3 linked regions of the Drosophila melanogaster genome follow. The protein of the gene in region 3 interacts with the protein of the main gene of each other region in a pairwise test. Each region holds a gene or a part of one and is shown on either strand. Other genes may lie near its edges.

Region 1 (6,517 bases), 3.3 Mb from region 3:
GCATTACTTCTGTTACGATCTATACTGTTTAAATATGCATAATTGTAGAGGAGTTCTCCATTTGCGCAGCAGCTCGATTTACCATTACCCACCACACCCCACCCACCGACACCTTGAATTTATCGCGCCACGCTTTATCAGCGACGCCAGCAACATGCAAAACCACTTTAAAATAGATTGATTAATTAATTGGTATCTTTGCAGGGCTGCCGCGCCATGGTGCCCAAAACCGAGGACGCCGAGATCTTGGAGTGCATGCGGAATTACCAGTGGGGCCACTTGGCCATGACGTACACCAGTCTCGCAGTGCTGGTCACCCTGGGCGATGATTTGTCCCGACTGGATCGGAAAAGCATTGTGGACGGAGTGGCTGCTGTTCAGAAGCCTGAGGGCAGTTTTAGCGCCTGCATCGATGGCAGCGAGGATGATATGCGATTTGTTTATTGTGCCGCCACCATATGCTACATGCTGGACTACTGGGGCGATGTCAACAAGGAGACCATGTTTCAGTTCATCACTCGGAGCCTGCGATACGATTACGGTTTCAGCCAAGAGCTGGAGGGGGAGGCCCATGGCGGCACCACATTCTGTGCCTTGGCGGCGTTGCATCTTAGTGGACAACTGCATCGCCTGGATGCCACGACGGTGGAGCGAATGAAGCGTTGGCTCATTTTCCGCCAGATGGATGGATTCCAAGGACGCCCCAATAAGCCAGTGGATACTTGTTATTCCTTCTGGATTGGTGCATCGCTATGTATTCTGGACGGCTTCGAACTAACCGATTATGCCCGGAACCGAGAATTCATTCTGAGCACACAGGATAAGCTCATTGGGGGCTTTGCCAAGTGGCCGCAAGCCACGCCTGATCCGTTTCACACATACCTCGGTCTCTGCGGACTAGCTTTCACGGGTGAACCTGGGCTAAGCCCCGTGAATCCCAGTCTGAACATGTCCATGGCCGCCTACGCTCACCTGCAGCATCTGCATGAGCAGTGGCGGTCCGCAGATGGCCGAGGCGACGAGGATATTAGTGTAAGCTCTGCATTCAAGCAACAACTCCACCTGTCAAAGGGGGTCGAGGCGACATCCACAACAACTACCTCTAACTCGCCATTAATTTCAGCACAATGATGGGAAGCCGCACAAAGCACGAGGGGAAAGTTAAAGCACACTATTGTATTTATATTGGCCACATTTTAGCCACGCTTTTTATGCCCTTGCAGTTAGTATATTTATTTTATCGAAAAGTTTGTAGCGCAGTGGATGAGGCATTTGCGACCATATAAACTATATATCAGTATCACCAGCGGAGTCGATACGGCCATGTCCGTCTGTCAGTTTCTATGCCAAATAGTCTCTTAGTTTAGCAATCTGCATGAACGGGTCGTTGTTTTTAATCGGTATAAATGTTATAATTACTGCAAGGGTATATAAGTTTCGGCTTGCCGATTCTAGCTTACTTTCTGGTTTACATGTATTTTAATGCAAAAAGCTCGAGCTTTTGGAGAGAGAGATGAATAAGTTAGTATGTTTATTGTACAGCCTAAATTAATGTTAACAATGTGTAAGATTAAGCTTAAAAGTAAATTAAAGCGTCCCATGCTGAGGCATGTATTTACAGCAAAAGTATTGGATAGCCTCGAAAGCCTCCTTGGTACATTGGTAATATTGGCCCGGAATCAGAATTAATCTCAAACCTGCAGGAACAGGCGGTGATGTTGCACAGTTGGCATGTAGCCCATGCCGGGCCGATCGATGTGGACCCGTCCACGAAGTGGGGCGAGCACACGCTCGGTGACCAATGGGCAGCGCTGCACCATCAGTGACTGCAGCAGCGGGCAACTGGAGGTGAGGGCACTGCGGAAGAGGGAGAACGAAGTGTGGGCTAGTAAACAAGGAAATCGCTGGGATAGAAGTCGTTCAAGTTGTAAGCGTTGAGCCCCACATCCGGCTGTGGCCTATCGATGTAAAGACGCCGCTGGCGGAGCGGCGCCAGGGAGAGTTCTGTGACCCGCGGACAACGTCGAATGAGCAAGGTCCGTAGCCGCAAACAGTGCACTGTCAAAGCGCTGAAAATACGCAGATGCGGATGCAGATGGAGATTGGTTTCCCCAGAAACACACAGACACAAGGCACGCACAGGTTTACTGACAATATGACAACAGCTTTTAGGGATAACTACGAGTATTACTTACTGCACGCCATAGTCGGAGATAGCCGCACACCCGATCACGTTGATGTGCTCCAGTTCGCGGCAATAGTTCCCGATTTGGATGAGCACCTGATCGGTGACACTGGGCGTATTTGCCAGCGACAGGACGGTGAGCTTGTTAAGTTTCCTGAAGAAGATAATCAAGCAGCGCTCTCCAATTGCGCCGCAATAGGAGATGTCGAACTCCACCAGCTTGCTTTGGTGCAGCGTCAAAGCGTCCACTGCTCCCGTGGTCAGCCACTGGCACTTGGACAGCTTGAGTACGCGCAGCTCCTTGCACTCCACTATGATCGGCTGCAGCGAAAGGGCCGTGATGTTGACGCATTCGTTCAGGTTGACGGCCCACAGGCGTTTCTTGTTGTTGGCCAGCAGTGGCAGCAGCAGCTCATCTGTTAGCCATCGGCAGCAGGCCAGATGAAGCACCTCCAATCGTTGGCAACATCGGGCCAGCACTCGAAAGGCCACGTCGATATTCTTTGTGTTGTTCCCAGAGAGATGAAGTTCCTGCCTTTTTTCCAGCGCAGCCTCCACAAAGCGTTGTGCGGTACGGGAGCAGCAGCGCAGGTTGAAGAGATCCTTGAGCGACAGGTAGACGGCAACCTGCGGGATGAGCACATCGTCCCAGCAGACATCAAACAGCGATCGTGGTGCTGCAATGGAGGCGGTGACCAATGGCCTTGGACTGGCCGTACGCGTTGGTTGTCCTCCGCTGGCCATGGCCATCAGGTGAGCTTCCTCCTCGGGGTGCAGAGTGCACATGCTGCCGCCTCCGGTTACGTGATCTACGCACCAACAAAGCACTCCCAACTCAATCCTTTGGTGCACGGCAAAAACGTAATTAATTGTTTACTTGATAGCAATCAGCTGTTGCTTTGGCATTCACACAAAACTGCTACAAAAATTATTTGTGTAATCTTACGCCGTGGTTTCTACACACGAGTAAAATTTGTTTTACACTGCGTAAAACAAGTGTAGAACACATACATTTTGTTGGTGACCCCGATTTATATACTCTCGAAACGTATTGCTTTTAAAATGATCGATTTATTTAGAAAAATTAGTAAGAGATGCCAGTGTGGTCACGGATCCAGTCCAAGTGGTAGGTGACGCGCTGGAATCCAGCAGGAGCACCCGACTGGCAGCCGTTGGAGGAGACGAAGTTGCTAACTCCCACCAGCTTGGAGCCGTCGTGTGTGACAAGGGGACCGCCAGAGTCACCTCCGCAAATGGACTTGCCGTCGACGGTGCGGGTGCAGATGACGTTGTCGCCAACGCTGCCGTAGGTCCAGCCGCACTCTTCGTTGTGGACGATCTGGAGATCGACGCACTGCAGCCAGTCGGGCAGTGGGCTGCCGTCGTAGGTGCCACCCCATCCGCAAGCGACGGCCCACCATTCGTTGTAGTTGTTGTAACGGTCGTTGTAGCTGGGGAGCTCCACCTTGTTCACCATGTGCCAGAAGTCGACGTGGGGGATGCGGATCAGGGCGATATCAGCGTTGGAATGCTTGATGAAGTTGCCGTTGCCAACGGTGTGGGTGAACTGGGCGTTGGTGCGCCAGGTGGCACCGAAGTAAACGATCACGGAAGCGGCATCTCCGATGCAGTGCTCGGCAGTCAGGACCCAGTCGTGGGCGATGATGGAGCCACCGCACCACCAGCCTCCGCTGAAGCCAAGACCCACAGTGTAGGGAGCCTTACCCTCGGGGGCGGCGTATCCGTTGGTGATACGACCCTCAATCTTGGTGGCCTTGGGCAGGTCCTTTACGAAGACCTTCTCGTCGAAGGCGGAGGCCGAAGCCACGGCCAGAGCCAGGATAGCTAGGAACACCTTCATGCTGATGTTTATACTGGATTCTACTCTCGGATGGCAGCCTTTTATACACATTTTCAGCTAAAACCATATCTGCAACTCGAAAAGGGCTCGTAAATAATCCTCAAGACTCCCATAAACGATGTCATCGATAAGAATGGAGGAACCACTCTACCAAGCCAGTAGTAGAAATCAAAGAAACTCTAGGGGGGACTAGACCCCCCCCACTAGACTATATATATTTATATATATTATATTATTTTATTATTTACCATATATTAAGTATGCAGCAATAAACAGCCAAATTATTATCTATCTAAATGGAATAATATTTTGTGGCTAATCAAATATGTTTGTAGTTTTATTCATAATTATAAAATATATATTTGTCAACCTTTGCGCAGACCATTCTATCTTATCATCATTTTTCAGAACTTAAAATTTACAATGATCTTTGGACAGGAATGATTTTCAATAAAGTTGTTTGTTAACTTTTACATAAAATGTATGTCTGCTTTTTGTCCTGATAAGGATAATCTGTAATAATGGCTGGAGGTTTTCCGCTTGTTTTCAAATCTATTACTAACTGTTGCCAAGTTAGGCTGAAGGATTCTCGACTATTATTAATTTAATAGACAATTAATAAGAACAACAACAAACCAAAACTTGATGCACAAGTGTATGATAACCCTATATACTCACAGGTTTTTGATAACAAGAATTACAAGTGCTTAAAAATAAAATAGTTTACAATTATTGTTCAAGTGTAAACAAATGTTTGAAAGTGATAATAAAATAGGTGTTGGAAAAATGTTAAAAACTTGTGTGTTATTTTCATAAAAATGCTGATTGAACTTCTTTACAGCAAAATTGTCAAAATTACTAAAAAAGTTAGCTGTCATTGAAGATAAGATTAAATCTAGTACAAATCTGTAAATTATTATTTGCTTGCTATTATATATAGCTTTTGCTTAAAGTTTCTAAACTATCCAATCGTTTTAATACTTACAAAAATATATCCAAAATAAAACAGAAACAAAATATACATCTGTATTTAATATTCTAAGAAAAACTGAAATATAAATTATCATTATTTAAATGAAGGAAAATTTTATTTATTATAAACAAGTTAAACAAAATGGAGATTTTAGCCACATGCGTAAACCCTTTAATCTTATCGAAGGTAGGTCTGAAAAATAAACAAATCCCTCCAAATCAATTGATAGAAAACTGAGATAGTAAGAGAAATAAACTAGACTGGCACTAACAACAAATGAAATACGCAATTCTTTATAACTTATAACACTACTTATCTTTCTGATTTAATTTAAATATGAGGCTTAACATTTAATCATAAATAATAATAAATTGGAAACCATATCATTCGTATTCTATGAAAACATTCTATGAAGATATCGAAAATCAATCTAAACCATACAAAATCAAGTATCTTGATCCTTAAGATAATCCATTTTAGTTTCCCCATTCCTTAAATTTAAACTATCGAATTAAAAAACAATTATCTATTAAATGCAGAAGGGTTTATTTCGAGAACGAAATTAGTAGGAGATGCCAGTGTGGTCGCGGATCCAGTCCAGGTAGCTGGTGACGCGGGTGAAGCCATCGGGCAGGCCCGAGGTGCAGCCGCTGGCGGCCACAAAGGAGGTGACACCGACCAGCTTGGAGCGGTCGTGGAGGACCAGTGGGCCGCCAGAGTCGCCGGCGCAGGTGGACTTGCCGCCGGGGGTGGAGGTGCAGATGACGTTGTCGGTGATCACATCGGTTCCATAGACGCTGGAGCACTCGTCGCGGGTGATGATCTGGGAGTCCACGCAGTTCAGGTAGTCGGAGACGCCACAGCTATCGCAAGGCCTGCCCCATCCGGAGGCTAGAGCCCACCAGCCGGCAAAGCTGTCGTGGCGCTCGTTGCCATCGGGCAGCTCCACCTTGTTGATCAGGTGCCAGAAGTCCACGTGCGGGGTGTTGATCAGCGAGATGTCGTTGTTCAGGTTGTTGGTGTTGTAGTCCGAGTGCTGGCGGAAGTGGCCGCTGCCCACGGTGTGGGTGTACTGAGCCTGGAGGCGCCACAGAGCACCGTAGTAGATGGTGACGGAGTGAGCTCCGTGGGTGCAGTGGGCAGCCGTGATCACCCAGGTGTGACCGATGATCGAGCCACCGCACCACCAGCCACCGCTGTCGCTGCTGAAGCCCAGACCCACGATGTAGGGCACCTTGCCCTCGTAGGCGGGATAGCCGTTGGTAATGCGACCCTCGATCGAGCCGGATCCGGATCCCAGGACGGCGTCCTTTAGGGGCACCGGCTTCACCTTCTCAGGCTGGGCGGCGGCGCAGGCAATGGCCACGGCCAGGACAGTTAGGAACAGCTTCATGTTGATTACTTGAGTGCAAGTGGATACTCCGCCGACGGGCAGTGATTTATATACCCCCCAAATCCGACGTATTCATATCGCTAGAGATCTTCACCATTCGCCACT
Region 2 (8,297 bases), on a different chromosome or scaffold from region 3:
ATCTCGTTTGAACATGGCGCGCTACGGCAGACAAGCAGTTGTCGATGCAAGCAGTATGTGGTGAATTTCGTTTGCAAAACTGCTTGACCAGGGATCTTTTGATCGGTTGGAGGGAAATTAAGCAGCTGACGTTAATTAGATGAAATGCTTGTGCATTTTTGAAGCTCGAAACAATAAAATAAATATAATGTAAACTGGCTCATACAATTTTATATATTTTTCATTTCCAACAATTTGTCTTTTATTTTAATGAAAATATTGGAATGAAATATCAGTTCATTTATTTATTTACTAAGTTTGTTACAAACTTTATGTATTATTAAAATATAATACCATCTTGAATCATATAATTAATTTTATTACCATGAGTGGATTTTTATAAAAGACATATTTTGGAATATAGAGAAAATGTCAAAACATTATACGAATTTCTTTTGAGGGATCTGTAAGTATTTTAACATCTCGTCCTTGTGCTGATAACTCCCATAATTAAAAGGGATAGACGGAAATGGTAGGGAGACTCGGCTAGTGATTATCGTCGCGTGCATAATAGATGAAACTACTTTCGATACTGTTTAACACGTTCATCGAATCTAGAGATTCCCTTTACGGATATAAATATTTTAATTATGATAGGTCTGAAATTGTTTAGTGTCTAGGTATATAGTTCTGCTAGGGTGGAACTCAAAACGTGTGAAACCTGAGAATTCTAATCAAGTAACTAATCCGAAAGTTTGATAAATATTTAAAAGCTAAATGGACTTAACTTTAATGATTTACCGAGAAGGATTTTGATTATGCTACCAAGTGTGTAGGTAGCTTATATTAACAATTTAAAACATGAAGCAATAGTAGTTATTCATCAAAGTAAATGGTTTTTACAGATAAGCCAAGAACAGAATGGATCACATAACTCGTTCTTGGCAAATTACCAGATACATTTAAGGCTTGCATTTCTGGCGACATGCCAAATACACAGTTGCCAAAAAGCCTGTACTTGACAATGTAGTCGATATTCACTCAACTCAAACTAACTTTTTCATAAATGATTTGGAGTTCTTCTAATCCAAGTCAATGGCTGATCAAATTTTTTCAAATTAGCAAACATTTTATGATATTTTTCAAGCACTCCCCACTATAAACACAGTCTTAAAACACCAAAATCTTATTTCACTTCAGCAAACAATTTGGTGGCTTTGTCAAATCTTCAACGAGATACTCACCCAATCGAATTTCACGTGCCGCTGCCCGCGTTTTATTGCGATGACAGCTCCTTGAGTCACAGAGCCGAGCATCATCATCACCAGCCATCATCAACTCGTAAAACCAACACCACGGCCTTTGTTTACAACCGCGTTCGTCGTTGAGGATGTGGAAACAGTTGGAAAATGGGCGCTGGAGCCGCGGAATCTGGGCCACTGCATCCTGGCCAAAAGATCCCAGCCGAATGACCGTCCGTCTGTGGAGGCGGTTCGTTTTGGAATCCAGAGATTGTCGGCGGATTCTGATTCCAGGTTCCAGTAACAGCATCCAATAAAAGTGCAAGTCGGAAGCAGTGATGACATTCTTTTAGTTTTATTTGCTGAATATGTGTAGGTTCGTAAGTTTAAAAAGTTCGACAACATTTTTAATAAATGGTTTCTTTCTAACAAGGTTTTCTAATTATTTATTATTATATTATTATAATTATAATAATAATTATTATATATATTATAATAATATTATAATTATATTAGAATATATATATATGTATATATATATATATATATATATTATAATATATTTTATTTCGCTTATAACATTATATTTTATCAATATCTTTATAGTATTTTAAGGTCAGAGGATGCCGAAAAGCTTCTAGGATGTCATCACTGGTCCTAAGGTAACCATTTGACGGAACTGCGCAGGCGTTAACTCTGGCTTCACATCCGCCTCCATCAGGCTGGAATTCTCTGGTGGAGGTGGAACTGAAGTGGGCTCTCTTTGAAGCCTTTGTCGGGCTCCTTAGCCAGGCCTTACTGTTGCCATTTTCTGCGGCAGGGTGGCGGCAAGGAAAAACCCGATTTCCACCCCTAAACTGGCCAGAGTCTCACGTCTGGCGTTCCAATCGACTTTTGCCGACTCTCTCTCAGGGGAGGTTTTGGTCCGAAAATCAATAAAAGTCACGTCGACGTCCATGTTGCTCTGCTCCTGCCGCAGAGGCCTCAACCTCCGGCCCCGGCAGACAATGAAATGATGTCCTGGCCAAAGGACGACGGAATGGGAGGTCGGATGCGGGGCTGGGAGTTTCAGACGAGGACGCACGTGTTGTCCCTGGACTTCAGGCTCGAATGCGTGCGAGTAGCAGCAACAATACCAATTACAATAAAGACAGACATTTAGCCAGGATTCATTTCGAGGGGTGTCCGCAGGAAGGGAAGCCAGCAGGACATGTGAAAAAAGGAGCCAGGAGCGAGGATGAAAAATTTGCCAAATGTATTCCAGCAACGGGTTTCTAATGGAAACAATTAAGTCATTAGCAAGTGTTGATTTTAGTGAGCGATGAGCCGGGTTGGGGATTTAGTTAAACTAATGTGCTCCGGCCATAATGGAGTCCTTTGGGCACTCTGGACTGGATCCCCGCACAAGCTCCCGAATAGTTCATGTACCAGTGGCAGACCCAGCTCGTTGGACCGCCTTACAAATGCCTCGCATTTTTCTCAATTACAATGAACAACTTACATTCGGGTTCACTTTTCGCCACACAACCCACTCCGCATTTTGACCATGTGAGTGTTTACGTCAAGAGGTGAACAACTGACTGCCATTTTTTAACCATGATTGAAGAGTTAAACGCTGTGGCACTTTGAGCGGGCTCGGTTAACTTTTTGGCAAATGACTTCGGCAGCGTTAACCGTTGGAATACCAGCTCAGAATGGAGGTTACATGCTGTTTTTGGTGTCAAGGTGGGACCTTGCGGACTCAGATGGCAGCTTTAAGGAAGAAGATCTTGAAAGATCTGTTATTTAGGGTTTGGAAAGTGGCATCCAAAAAAGTTAATGGATTTTTAAAAGATTTGGATGTTCTAGCCATCATTCTAACGAAACTGTGGCTTTTAAAGTGTAAAGTTTGAATTGTTTATTGTTATAAATTAATAAGATCCATGGAGCATTGGGTGTTGTTTAGAAGTGATTAATTTTTCATTTATATCTGCACTTACCATATATTTTTAGATTCCCTCTCGATAAAACAATGAAATACTTTTGACAATGCCTTGTCTCCTGGCTTAGTTTTATTGAATGACAAACCCTTTAATTCGTTGCTTCAAGAGGTGTTTATTCTCTCATGGTATTTAACTTACACCGTATACAAGCCAACCCAACCACATAGGAAAAGACCGATTAAACTTTATCAGAGAACGTTATTTACTTAAGCATATTAATGTGTGTTTGCACAAGCCGACGGATGCAGAGCAAAATTCATAAGGCACAAGCGGTGGCTCGATCTCAAGTGTGTCCGAAAATAATGAAGTCTGAATGGGAGCTAATTGAATGAATCATTAATAATATAAACACAGACCGCATCCGGACTGGCGAATTGCCGAAAAAGCGAGACGAGAGGAGAAAGTGAGGGTTCCAGTCTTGTTGCGTGGGAATGGAAATCAGACGTTGAGGGCTTATTACGACAAGGAGGGCACTGGGATGACGGTCTGGAAGAGATGCAGTCGCGCATCGGCGTGTCCCAGCTTATTGGTGGCATTGCAGTAGTAGTCCCCAAAGTCCTCCTCGCCCACGCTATCGATGCGCAGCACAGAGGTTGTGGTTCCCGAGGAGGAGGCGGTGTTGGCCACCTCGTGGTGCCGGCTAGACTGCAGGGGCACGCCATTCTTGTGCCAAACTACAGTCGGAGCCGGGTAGCCCTGCACGGAGCACTCCAGCTCCGCGGAATGGGACACCATTTGGGCGATCTTGGGCCTCTGGACGGCAATCTGCGGACGGAACTCCACTTCGACCCGGATCAACCTCTTGTCCGGCTGGCCCTCTCCGTTCTGCGCGATGCAGTAGTAGCCGCCGCGATCCATCCGGTGCACGGAACGAATCCGGAGAGTTGGTTCGGCCAGCAAATGGCCACCGGCAGGCATCACTGCATTATGCTCGCGGGCCCAGGAGATCGTAGGCTTGGGAAAGCCATTGGCATGGCAGGTCAGCTCCAGATTCTGTCCCTCTGTCACCAGGGTGCTCTTGGGGGTGTTCTCCGCAATCACCGGCGGGGTCTTGATCTGCAGGCTCAGCTTCTTGGTCACCTTCTCCGTGGCCGAAACAAGCACCTGACACTCGTACGGACCCATGTCACTGACTTCGATGTTCTGAATGCGGAAGGTGTAAATGGCACTTCCGGTCTTGGGTCCTTCGGTGACCGTTACGTTGTACCGCTGGTCGGGCAGACTGAGGATATTCCGCATGGAGAGCACCACCGAGTTGGTGTCCGACTCGCTGGGACGCTTGGCCCAGCTCACCGAGAGCTGTCCCACCTCCTCCACGGTGCAGTTGAACTCCACAGAGTCGCCCACACTGGCCACCACGTCCTTGCTGATCTGGCTGATCACTGGGGCACTAAGCACCGAATCCAAGCTGATCGCAAGGCAGAATATAAGACCGATTAGAAGCCGCAGACGCGCCATGTCTGGTCTGTAAGAAATCAAAATAGATTTGAGATTTATTAGTGTATCACTTTATGTTGAGTCTTTTGATCGCGTTAGCCATTCTAAATATTTCGTATGTAATGGAGAACTGCCATTTTTAACCCATCTTCGAATTCAATATAATAAACTAAAACTAGGTTCAATTATAGAATAATAATTTAAAGGTCACAAGTATATCTTTAAAAGTATCTTTCAAAAGTAAATAAGAAGGAAAGAATTCTGCACACACACTCGTTTTGAAACATTTATAAGGCTTGTACACACTTTTCAGCTTTATCGTCTTATTTTAATATAATTCATACATTTCTGTTTATTTACAGGATGTTGCTGTTGATTTTGTGACTCTTTTTCCTCGACTATCTCTCAGTTCAATGTGGGTTCAATGCGCTTCACTTCGCGTTCGGGACTCGACTGAATTGAAAGAGGCGACCGAGCTCGGCTCAAAAATCCGTATCTCTGCTGAGGTTCTGAGAATCGGGTTCTTATTTTTGTATTCTTCCTGACGCGCCGACGTCGATGGCTCGGTTTCTCAAGGAAAGTCCCGAAATTTGTACACCGCGAGAATGAAGCAGATAGACACCATTATGATTGATTACCGCGGCTGTGTCTAGACAACGTTGCTTCTTAATGGATACACTGGTAAAAACGGAGATAACTTAGTTTTCCGATATATCAATACTTATTTTTTTTTTTAATGAATAGCCAGGTAAACGAAATCAATTTGATTTAAAATTAATTTTTTTGTAGTTAAGGATGTGAAAAAAGATTTTAAATGGCAGTGTTTAGTAAATAGTTTAAAATTTAGTAAAAAAAATAGTTTACCTTTTATTATATTGCATATTTTTTAATAATTAGTAACAGCTTTTTTCAGTGTATTTGCCGATGAAGAAGTCATCGACGTTTTGGATCTTATCACCCCTCGGTTATGTACATTGTCGCCTTCACAGTATTTGTATCTGTGTTTGTTCAGTATCTCTATCTGTATTTTGTATCTGTGTTTGCATTTTAGTTCGTATTTAAATTGTTTACTTGTGCGTGAGTTTGACTTCGGGCTCAGTTATCAATGCACTTTCCTTCTGGTCTTTAATTGATTTGTTTTGCTGCTCGCTGCTGTTGTTTATGCCTCTGCCTGTGGCCCTCCTGCCCCGCCCACTTGACAGCCCCCGCCCCAAGATAAGCGGTCAGTTGCAAAAACAAAGCGCCAGCGAAAGCGGCCGCAGGCGAACTGAGAGACCGCGTGCGAAATTCAAATTCAAATTCGTGCCGCCATTTGGCCATAAACGTTTCGGGGTTCGTGGAAGGACAATAAAAGGAGCAGCGGCGGGGTGGGAAAGTTGGAACTCTACCCATTTGTGTGATTTATGGCATGGCGCACTACTTTCCGCTGGCGGCTAACAACAACAGCAACGATTACGAGCGGTCCCTGGAATATCCTAGCCGCTCTGGAAATGCCAGCGATCCCAGCGCCGTCTCATTAGTGCTGTCTCTTTTGCGCCGGAGCAGGGGCGCATGCGCGAAAAGGCAAAAACAACGGGGTGGTGTACAAGGCATTGGGTGGAACTTGAATCGAGTCCTGGTTCAGCCATGCTGGGAAATTCTGAAGGATATTTAAAGAGCAGTATTCGGGAAATTTGGGTACCTTTAACTTGGCTGTTCGTAGAAATTTCTTTACACGGCTGAAGGTTAATATGTGTACTCACAGCATACGAGGATAGGAAACGTCGAAATATAACATAGTCTATATTGATTATATTTGTGTATATATATTGATGTGTTTAATATGTGTCTGGATCTCGATCAATTAGTTCCTATGGCAGATGATTTAAGGATTAAATGTGGTCAAAGGCCGTTTGATGTGCAAAATTTCACTTGTTGTATAAGCACCGAACCATTCGAAAACTTTCTGCTGCCCAAACGCATTTAATTTTCATATTTCCAGCCTGATTCCTGATCAGCCCCGGGCCAAGTTTCCCCCTAAAACCCATCGAGGTTAACCCGGCTTTACTCTGCGAGATGATTGATGACGACGCTGTCTGTCTGGCGAAGAAATTCCCCCGAAGAGCGACGAAACTATGGCCACAGTTTCTGGAAAATTAAATCACATCTTAAATCGTTTCGGTGACTTCTGCTGAAATGAGGCCGTTCCCATGGGAGGACAACTGCATCTGTCGTCCGAACTTGGACCCCCGCACTCTCACTCGTACTGCCCATCTGCCGGAATCCTCGTCGCTGAGTGCACATTCGAATCAGATAATTGTAAATTGTGTAAAATAATAAATTTCCAGTTAACTATCAACGGACCGCATAGGGCGCTTCTATTCCGTCCCTTTCTCGCTGCCCACTGACGGCTCTCCTTGTCCTCAGCTGCATCCCGGCAGCGTCATTATGACCATTGCGGCGATGCCTCTTGGATGCAGGTTCAGGTCCTGGTCCAGGTCCTGGCAGGTCCGGCTGCTTCATGCAACGCTCGACTTGGCCCGACCGAACTGGACACACACCGAAACCGAACGAAAGAGACGGCTAGACGGCGTGCGACAGAGAGGGCTGCCGCTCGCATTCAGGCGCAAGCGGATCCAAAACAGAAAATGTCAAATTTTGTAATTTATTACCCGAATCCTGTTTCTGTCAGTGACTCTTTGGGTGTTTCGCTTCAGCAGCGGCACACACGGGGGCATTCAGCATTCAGGGTCGCCGAGCGGGGAAGGGAGAAGTCCTTTGTCACACACTGCGTCTGAATTTGTGGCCCAGTTCCGCACAGTGGTATCTAGCAGATACTTTTTGTAATATTTGTAAGAATGCACAGAACTTCGTTACATTCAGAGATTTCTAGTTTCTAGTCAGATGACTAAATACAATATTATGTGTCAAAGTAATTAATTTTGTTTTTGAATAAATTTCTAAAATATCAGCTTGCCTTTAACGTAAATATAGCCTTTTCTACCTATCTTTATCTGATATAAAAAAGTAGCATTTGAAATGCTGTTGTTGCAATGGTATCGAATTGGTATTAAAGCTCTGGCCCTGTTTAATTTGTATTTGTAGTCAGAGCAACCACTGTACCTTTGTGTGTATCCTTGGGCTTTGCCTATGCGAACGTATTTTGTTTGCCTTTTGGCTGCACTCCGACTCCGTCGACTGGAGTGTCTGTGAATTGACTTTTGTTGCCAGTTGGCAGCGGCAGAAGCAGCAAAGCCCGGCCAACAGCAACAAGCTCCTGCCAGATCCCAAAAGCAAACACGACAATTATTTGGCAAATGTCATTAAAAAATATTTCACTTAAGGCCTTGCGACACTTGCTTAAAGGTCAACTGGCTCGTTGGGTGTGTTTTAAAATGTTAAAGCTTGGGCCAATGCACTGAGCAACTTAATGCTTGTAGATATTTACACAATATTCTTCAACGCTAAACATATCGAATTTTCCAAATATGGAGCCTGAAAATAATAATTGCCAATCCTAGCTTAACATCAGAAATGAGTAGAACAACTTAAAAAAAATTAACAAAAGAATCGAACGCTACAGCTAATTAACTCGACAACTGGTTACCTTTTATTCTTCTAATACATTTTATAATGCACTGCCTAACAGGTACATATAGCAAGCACTATATGCTGTCTT
Region 3 (5,857 bases):
TTACTTAAATTCTTACATACTTAATTATCCTCTCCAAGTCCTTTCGAATAACTAAAATAACACATTTTTACAGTGAAGGCAAACGCGACTTTGTGGCTTGTGCAGTGGTGGCCCAGCAGGATAATGGCTTCACCACGCCTTGTGGCGTCTGCCGGCAGTTCCTCTCGGAGTTCGTCAACGGCAAGGACATCCCCCTGTACGCCGCCAAGCCGACCAATCTTCCATTGAGGGTGCTCTGCACCAGCGTTCTCCAACTGCTGCCCAACGGCTTTAGCTTCGCCAACGGAAAATAGAAAAGAATATCCCAGCCCAGCCCAGCCGGACAGGGTGCAATCCATGTGCAATAGTTTATGTGACATCCCATTTATAATGTTCTGTAAACCCACCCCTCGTTATTTGTTGATTGAATAGCTTATACGAGATACGGCATCTGTTTGTGTTTTTCACTGCTCTCCGCGATCGCGATCGTTGCTTATCAGCCTGATACCTGGTTCTCTCTCGCGCTCCGAATTGGCCAAATGTTTATTTCTGTCACCACTACACGGCGGAGAGTGCTATCAGCATAGCCAACTTCGGGCGCCGCCGTCACCACAAACCGTCCATTTGCCATCGGACGTTCAAAGGAGAAACACACGCACTCAACTTGCTAAAAATAATTCAAAATTTAAGAAAATAGGCGTGCCTCTATTGACCAAAAGAATTGAACTATAATGACACATCTGACAAAAAATTTCGCACGTCCAGAAAAGAATGAGGAGGTTGTGACCTTCGGCAGTCTGGGTAAGATTCCTTCTCGAGATTGAGAACAATCTGAGAACAATCCTTAAATATCTACGACTGTCAATTATTCAAAGTGGTTCTTATGATATTAAAAATAATAATGTTATAAATTAATACTCCTTACACTCATTGACAAGATCTAAGTTTAATTCTTGAGCGTGGCGTGCATTGTTTCGACTTCCAGATCCGTCGGTTCAAGAACTTCTGACAGCTGCTTTTCAAGTGCGCCAGCGGGCATACGTTCCATATAGTGGCTTCAAAGTTGGGGCTGCTTTTCGGGCCAAGGTCGATGGAAAGATCTTCACTGGCTGCAATGTGGAAAACGCCGCCTTTACGCCGGGCTCTTGTGCCGAGAGAACGGCCATTGCTAAGGCCGTAAGCGAAGGAGCCACCGAATTTTTGGCAGGTGCTGTTTTGGCCTACGAACCTAATGTATTCACCACTCCTTGCGGCGTTTGTCGTCAGTTTATACGCGAGTTTGCCAACGCGGATATACCCATATATGTGGCCCAGGCGATCGATGCGAGGATTGCTGAAAAGCAGGAACTTTTGCAGAGTGACGATCCCGTCATGTGCACCTCAATCTTTAATCTGTTGCCGAGCAGTTTTCACACCTATCGAAAGTAACGACCACTGCAGGCAAGAACCGAAAATAGGCAGAAGGTAGCTAGGTAAAGGTTGTTTCTCAACCCCTTGCTGCCTCTAATCAATATAATTTTGATCTAATCACTTGCAATAAAGAAAATTACACTACTTAGCAGTGTTTAATGTTTTTTTTTCGATCAATGAATAGGAAATGGGGATATAAATGCTGGAAAGATTGACACAGTGAAAGATTCTAGGAAAAGGTGTTTAATCGCTTTTGATTATATATCAAAATTAAGGTTATAAATTAAAGATATCGAATTTGGATTGACAACTGCTGACGTTAAGCGCAATGCAGGGAATGCCCCGATTTGTGATGACGTGATAAATGCACTCAACTTCTGATTCATAAACACCAAATTATTGTGAGATTAAATTTCGCCATTTGTATAGTAGCGAAAATAAGAAAGATCATTGTGGTAGTGGCAATCTTTTAAATCAAATTTATAAGGTTTGTTTCCAATTCCTTTGGATTCTAGTTTTTGAGATCATGATGTTCATACGAACAATAAGACAGACTGGCTAGACCGATGTCGCGATAAAGGCGCGTTCAAAACGCGTCCGAAACGCGTCGAAAACGCGCGAGCTTTTTCGACATTCTTAATTTGTAAAAATTTTAAACGTATTTAGTTGTTGTTGTTGTTTCATTAAATGCCTTAATGAACATCAACTGTAATAAATGTAATAAAAATTCAAATGGCGCTAAATAATATAATATAATCATTTTTATGAAAAAGAAACAAAAAGAAAATAATTTGTTTGACATTAGTGTTTTACAAATTGCCAACAGATACAGCATTTGCTTCTGGCTTTCAAAAATTGTTTTCGTTTTAAAAATTTGAAGTTCTGCAAAATGTCCGAAAAGCGGAAGCTCCTTCAGCGCTACATGCGGAACCTGAGCGACCTACAGGATGAGCTGAAGCGAAAAGAGCTGGAGAAGAAGATGAAGGAACTGGAAATGTTGCAGGCGAAGCTAGCTCGTCGCCAGGAGCAATCTGGCACCAAGTGCGCTGGCGGTAAGATCAAGAACTTGCGCCAGAAGAATCTTCGAAAGGTACTGGGAAAGTATATGATGACCTTGGAGGGATTTCTATGCGAGCTAGCACGCAGGGAGGCGCGTCTAAATGGCGACAGGGGTCGGGCTAGTGAATCCGAAAACCTGCCACATCCACAGATGTTGGAGGAGTACACAGTAGCGTTCTGTGCTGTTGGTAAGGCTTGGCTATAATGGTGAATCCTCTGCCATTGGTAATCAAACCGTAATCTCCAGGTGAGGATGGCCGGGAGCTGCTAGAGGCGGCTCTTTCTGCCCGTCGATGTGCCTATGCGCCCTACAGCAAATTCAAAGTGGGAGCAGCCTTCCGTGCGAAGTGCGGCAGGATCTACGCGGGCTGCAACATCGAGAACGTAGCTTTCACTCCAGGCAATTGTGCGGAGCGTTGTGCCCTGGCCAAGGGTATCAGCGAGGGCGAGAAGAAGTATACGGCGGGTGCTGTGGTAGCCTATCACCCAGATGGGTTTACCACACCTTGCGGAGTCTGCCGGCAGTTCATTTTGGAGTTCATCCAAAATGATATTCCTATCTACATTGCCAAGGCTCCGCCGCCGGAGCAAGAGAACTGCATTCCTTCAATTCCGGACGAAGCTGAAGTGCTGGTCACGTCCGCCTACCATCTGCTTCCCCACAGCTTTAACTCATTTGAATGAAATTTTCATCTAAATAATATCCAGAATTTATTTAATGCAATAAAATTATTCGTTCTAATGTCAATAAGTATTGCAAATAATTTAAGTTAGCGATCTGATTAACTTGACAAAAAGTCAAAACAATGTGTAGAGAACTAAACGTATTTGATAACTGGTTCTCCCGATCCGTAGATGCCGTATTCGCTTTTCTCCGCAAACGGAGTGACTTCCTCGTGCACGAGTATGGGCTTAACTTCTGGATCGAATTCAACCCTTCGAAATTGTGGATCCGTGAAATTAGCGCGCACCTCGGTGACCATTCCCGAATGCGGCACTCGTTTGGTGAGGTTTTGAAACTCACAGCGTCGCTTTGGGCAATTATGCGTATTACCCTCGTCACACATTGTAGGATCCTCTTCGCGGGACACTTTCTGGATGGGCGGCATCTTCTCCGTCCAATTCCAGTATGTAATATTGTCGTGGGCAGCTACTCCGCCACACAAGTCCTCGGGACCCCAGCGCACATACGACAGATTGTATGTGGTGGAGGAGGGATCAAGGTACTTGCTAAAGGACGCCTCCGAACGGTCGATGACTAGCTTGGTGGCTACCACCGGAGTGGGCATTGTTACAGGCAATATTTCCTGTTCCTCCGGCAGCTCCTTAAGTACATACGACTCATGACTGACACTAGAAATGGGCTTCATCTTTCGCTTTACAAAGCGAAGGGAACCCTCCTCAAATGGTTTCATATACTGTGTTTTCATGTTGAGCGAGGGATTTCTAAGTGCGTTGGGATCGTTATACTGGAACATCATGGTCACGTTTTAGTTTGGTGCAACATATCTCAGCATATCAATCAACTCACCTGCCACACATAGTTGGCCATGCACTCAGAAGTCGGCTTCTCGGACAGCAGCGGATCTTTTACATAAATACCCTTATCCGTAAACTTGGCGTTCAGCTTGTTACCCATTCTCAAGTCTGTAATGTGGCGATGCCCTCGATAGTACGAGGTCCTCCAATCGGGATCTGTAGCGCTGGCAGGGCGCTTGTAATCGAAGACGCCGAACTCATCCATGGCTTATGGACTTTGAAAATCTATCTAACACTGACAACAAACACAATTTTCAGCGACAATGGAAATGTGCACCCCTTGAGACGCTTAATTTGGAAACCCTTGATGTTGCCCAGTTACCGAATAGACTCCAAACAATGCTAGTATACTGACTGCTCACAAACAGCCAGCCTTCTGTACAATATTTCTCGTTTATATTCTGCTTCAAATGCAAGTGTTTACAATATATGTAGTTGTAGTTTATGCTGTAGAGAGGAATGCTTGTTTGACAAATATAAAAGCGCTCTGTTCACAAAACAAATGAATATTCGTTAATATAATACGTGGGCTAAGATAATAATGTTGCACTCGATTTGGCCTGTGCAATAATAAACTGTTTGCTTAGCAATTAAACAATTGATTTACTTCGTCTCCCGGATGTGTGTAATCGATGAGGCTTGCGTTTCAATGGGGTGTGTAAACAATGTGCGGGTGACTCATCCTTCTATTCCTTGTCTACTTCCGGCTCCCCGTCTCAGGCAATCTCTTTGAGCGCTAGCAGTGATTGGCGCAGATATTCATACTGCGTCTTGGCATGCTTGATCTCCAGCTCTGAGAGCTCGACGAGGCTGTGTTTAGAAAAGCGATAATAAAATGCAGAGCATAGCAAAATGTTTAGCAGCTGCTGACTCACCTCTTCTTGAAAGCAGCTACCCGTCGGTTGCGGAAACCGATCAACTCCTCCTTTCCACATGCAGACATAGATTCGAATTTTTCACAGGCCTCCGCCTGGGCAGTCTCGGCCTAATTGGAGGATAAACAAAAACGATTATATACAGGGAACACAACAAGTGGGCCACAGCAAGGGCATGCTAAAGTGAATACAACAGATTGAGCAACGGTGGAGCGCATGCAGCATTTACGTGGGGTGGCGACACATCTACTAAACCGACGGTTAAAACGTTAAATGCCAAATACCTCTTGCACCTCCAACGGCTGCAGAAACAGAACCACAAACACGCACAAAAAGTGAAGAGGGAGGGACAGGCAGATCAGAGAGTTGTGAGGTTGTGTACGGTAGCAATAAAATACAAGAACGCAAATAATTTGTTATTTGTAATTAGTGAAGCGTGAGAATTAATTGACCCGCTGGAAACTTTTTGTAGGGAAAACAATTGCTCTTTAAACGATCTGAAACATAGTTCTGGAAGAACTAGTTGTGATCATCCCTCAATCTTACCGCATGAACATCCTTGTTTTTGGAGCGAGCCTTCTCCAGGTTTCGATTGGCCGCTTCATAAGCAGCCAAACACCGCAGTCGCCGGATAAGTAGAGCTTTGGCAGCGTCGCTATCCCGCTGATAGTAGCGCAGAGTGTCGCCCAGCTTGAGATCTTGATCGCTAGCCACTCGGGTTTCCAGATTCTTTAAAATATCAAGAGGAAAATTTATAAAATATAATTATAGCGAAAACGCAGCGTAGCGCACCTTGATCCTTTCAAATATCTCCGCTGTCTTGGCCACAAACGTCTCCACATTTCCCTTTTCCGTAGTCGAGAGCTGCGTCAACGCATTCGAAATCTTCTGATGCGAGTCGCCTACATCCTTGTGGCGTTGCGTCATTTTCTCCGTCCTGAGTGCTGCCTCGCGCAAGTGGCCGTGGTACTCGGTAAGGAACTGCAGCTCGTTCT

Evidence for each region. The genes of interacting proteins can lie anywhere in the genome.
Region 1: the proteins of CG8292 (region 3) and Jon25Biii interact in a two-hybrid assay, tested with the Drosophila melanogaster proteins (one large-scale study listed by BioGRID).
Region 2: the proteins of CG8292 (region 3) and Ama interact in a two-hybrid assay, tested with the Drosophila melanogaster proteins (one large-scale study listed by BioGRID).

What each region holds. Positions count from the first base shown.
Region 1 is NT_033779.5:4,946,703-4,953,219, forward strand, and holds Jon25Biii (jonah 25Biii), read right to left. Parts: upstream 4,066-6,517; 5' UTR 4,047-4,065; coding exon 3,270-4,046; 3' UTR 3,239-3,269; downstream 1-3,238. Other genes in the region: betaggt-I (beta subunit of type I geranylgeranyl transferase), read left to right, coding at 205-1,131; jet (jetlag), read right to left, coding at 1,886-2,069, 2,196-2,971; Jon25Bii (jonah 25Bii), read right to left, coding at 5,582-6,412.
Region 2 is NT_033777.3:6,760,203-6,768,499, reverse strand, and holds Ama (amalgam), read right to left. Parts: upstream 5,908-8,297; 5' UTR 5,521-5,907; coding exon 5,504-5,520; intron 5,321-5,503; exon of another isoform or gene 4,984-5,320; intron 4,668-4,983; coding exon 3,659-4,667; 3' UTR 3,239-3,658; downstream 1-3,238.
Region 3 is NT_033779.5:8,213,708-8,219,564, forward strand, and holds CG8292 (uncharacterized protein), read right to left. Parts: upstream 4,311-5,857; 5' UTR 4,193-4,310; coding exon 3,980-4,192; intron 3,918-3,979; coding exon 3,267-3,917; 3' UTR 3,144-3,266; downstream 1-3,143. Other genes in the region: CG8360 (uncharacterized protein), read left to right, coding at 74-293; CG8353 (uncharacterized protein), read left to right, coding at 711-780, 965-1,407; CG8349 (uncharacterized protein), read left to right, coding at 2,279-2,636, 2,696-3,132; Snx6 (sorting nexin 6), read right to left, coding at 4,704-4,797, 4,863-4,972, 5,147-5,164, 5,409-5,591, 5,655-5,857.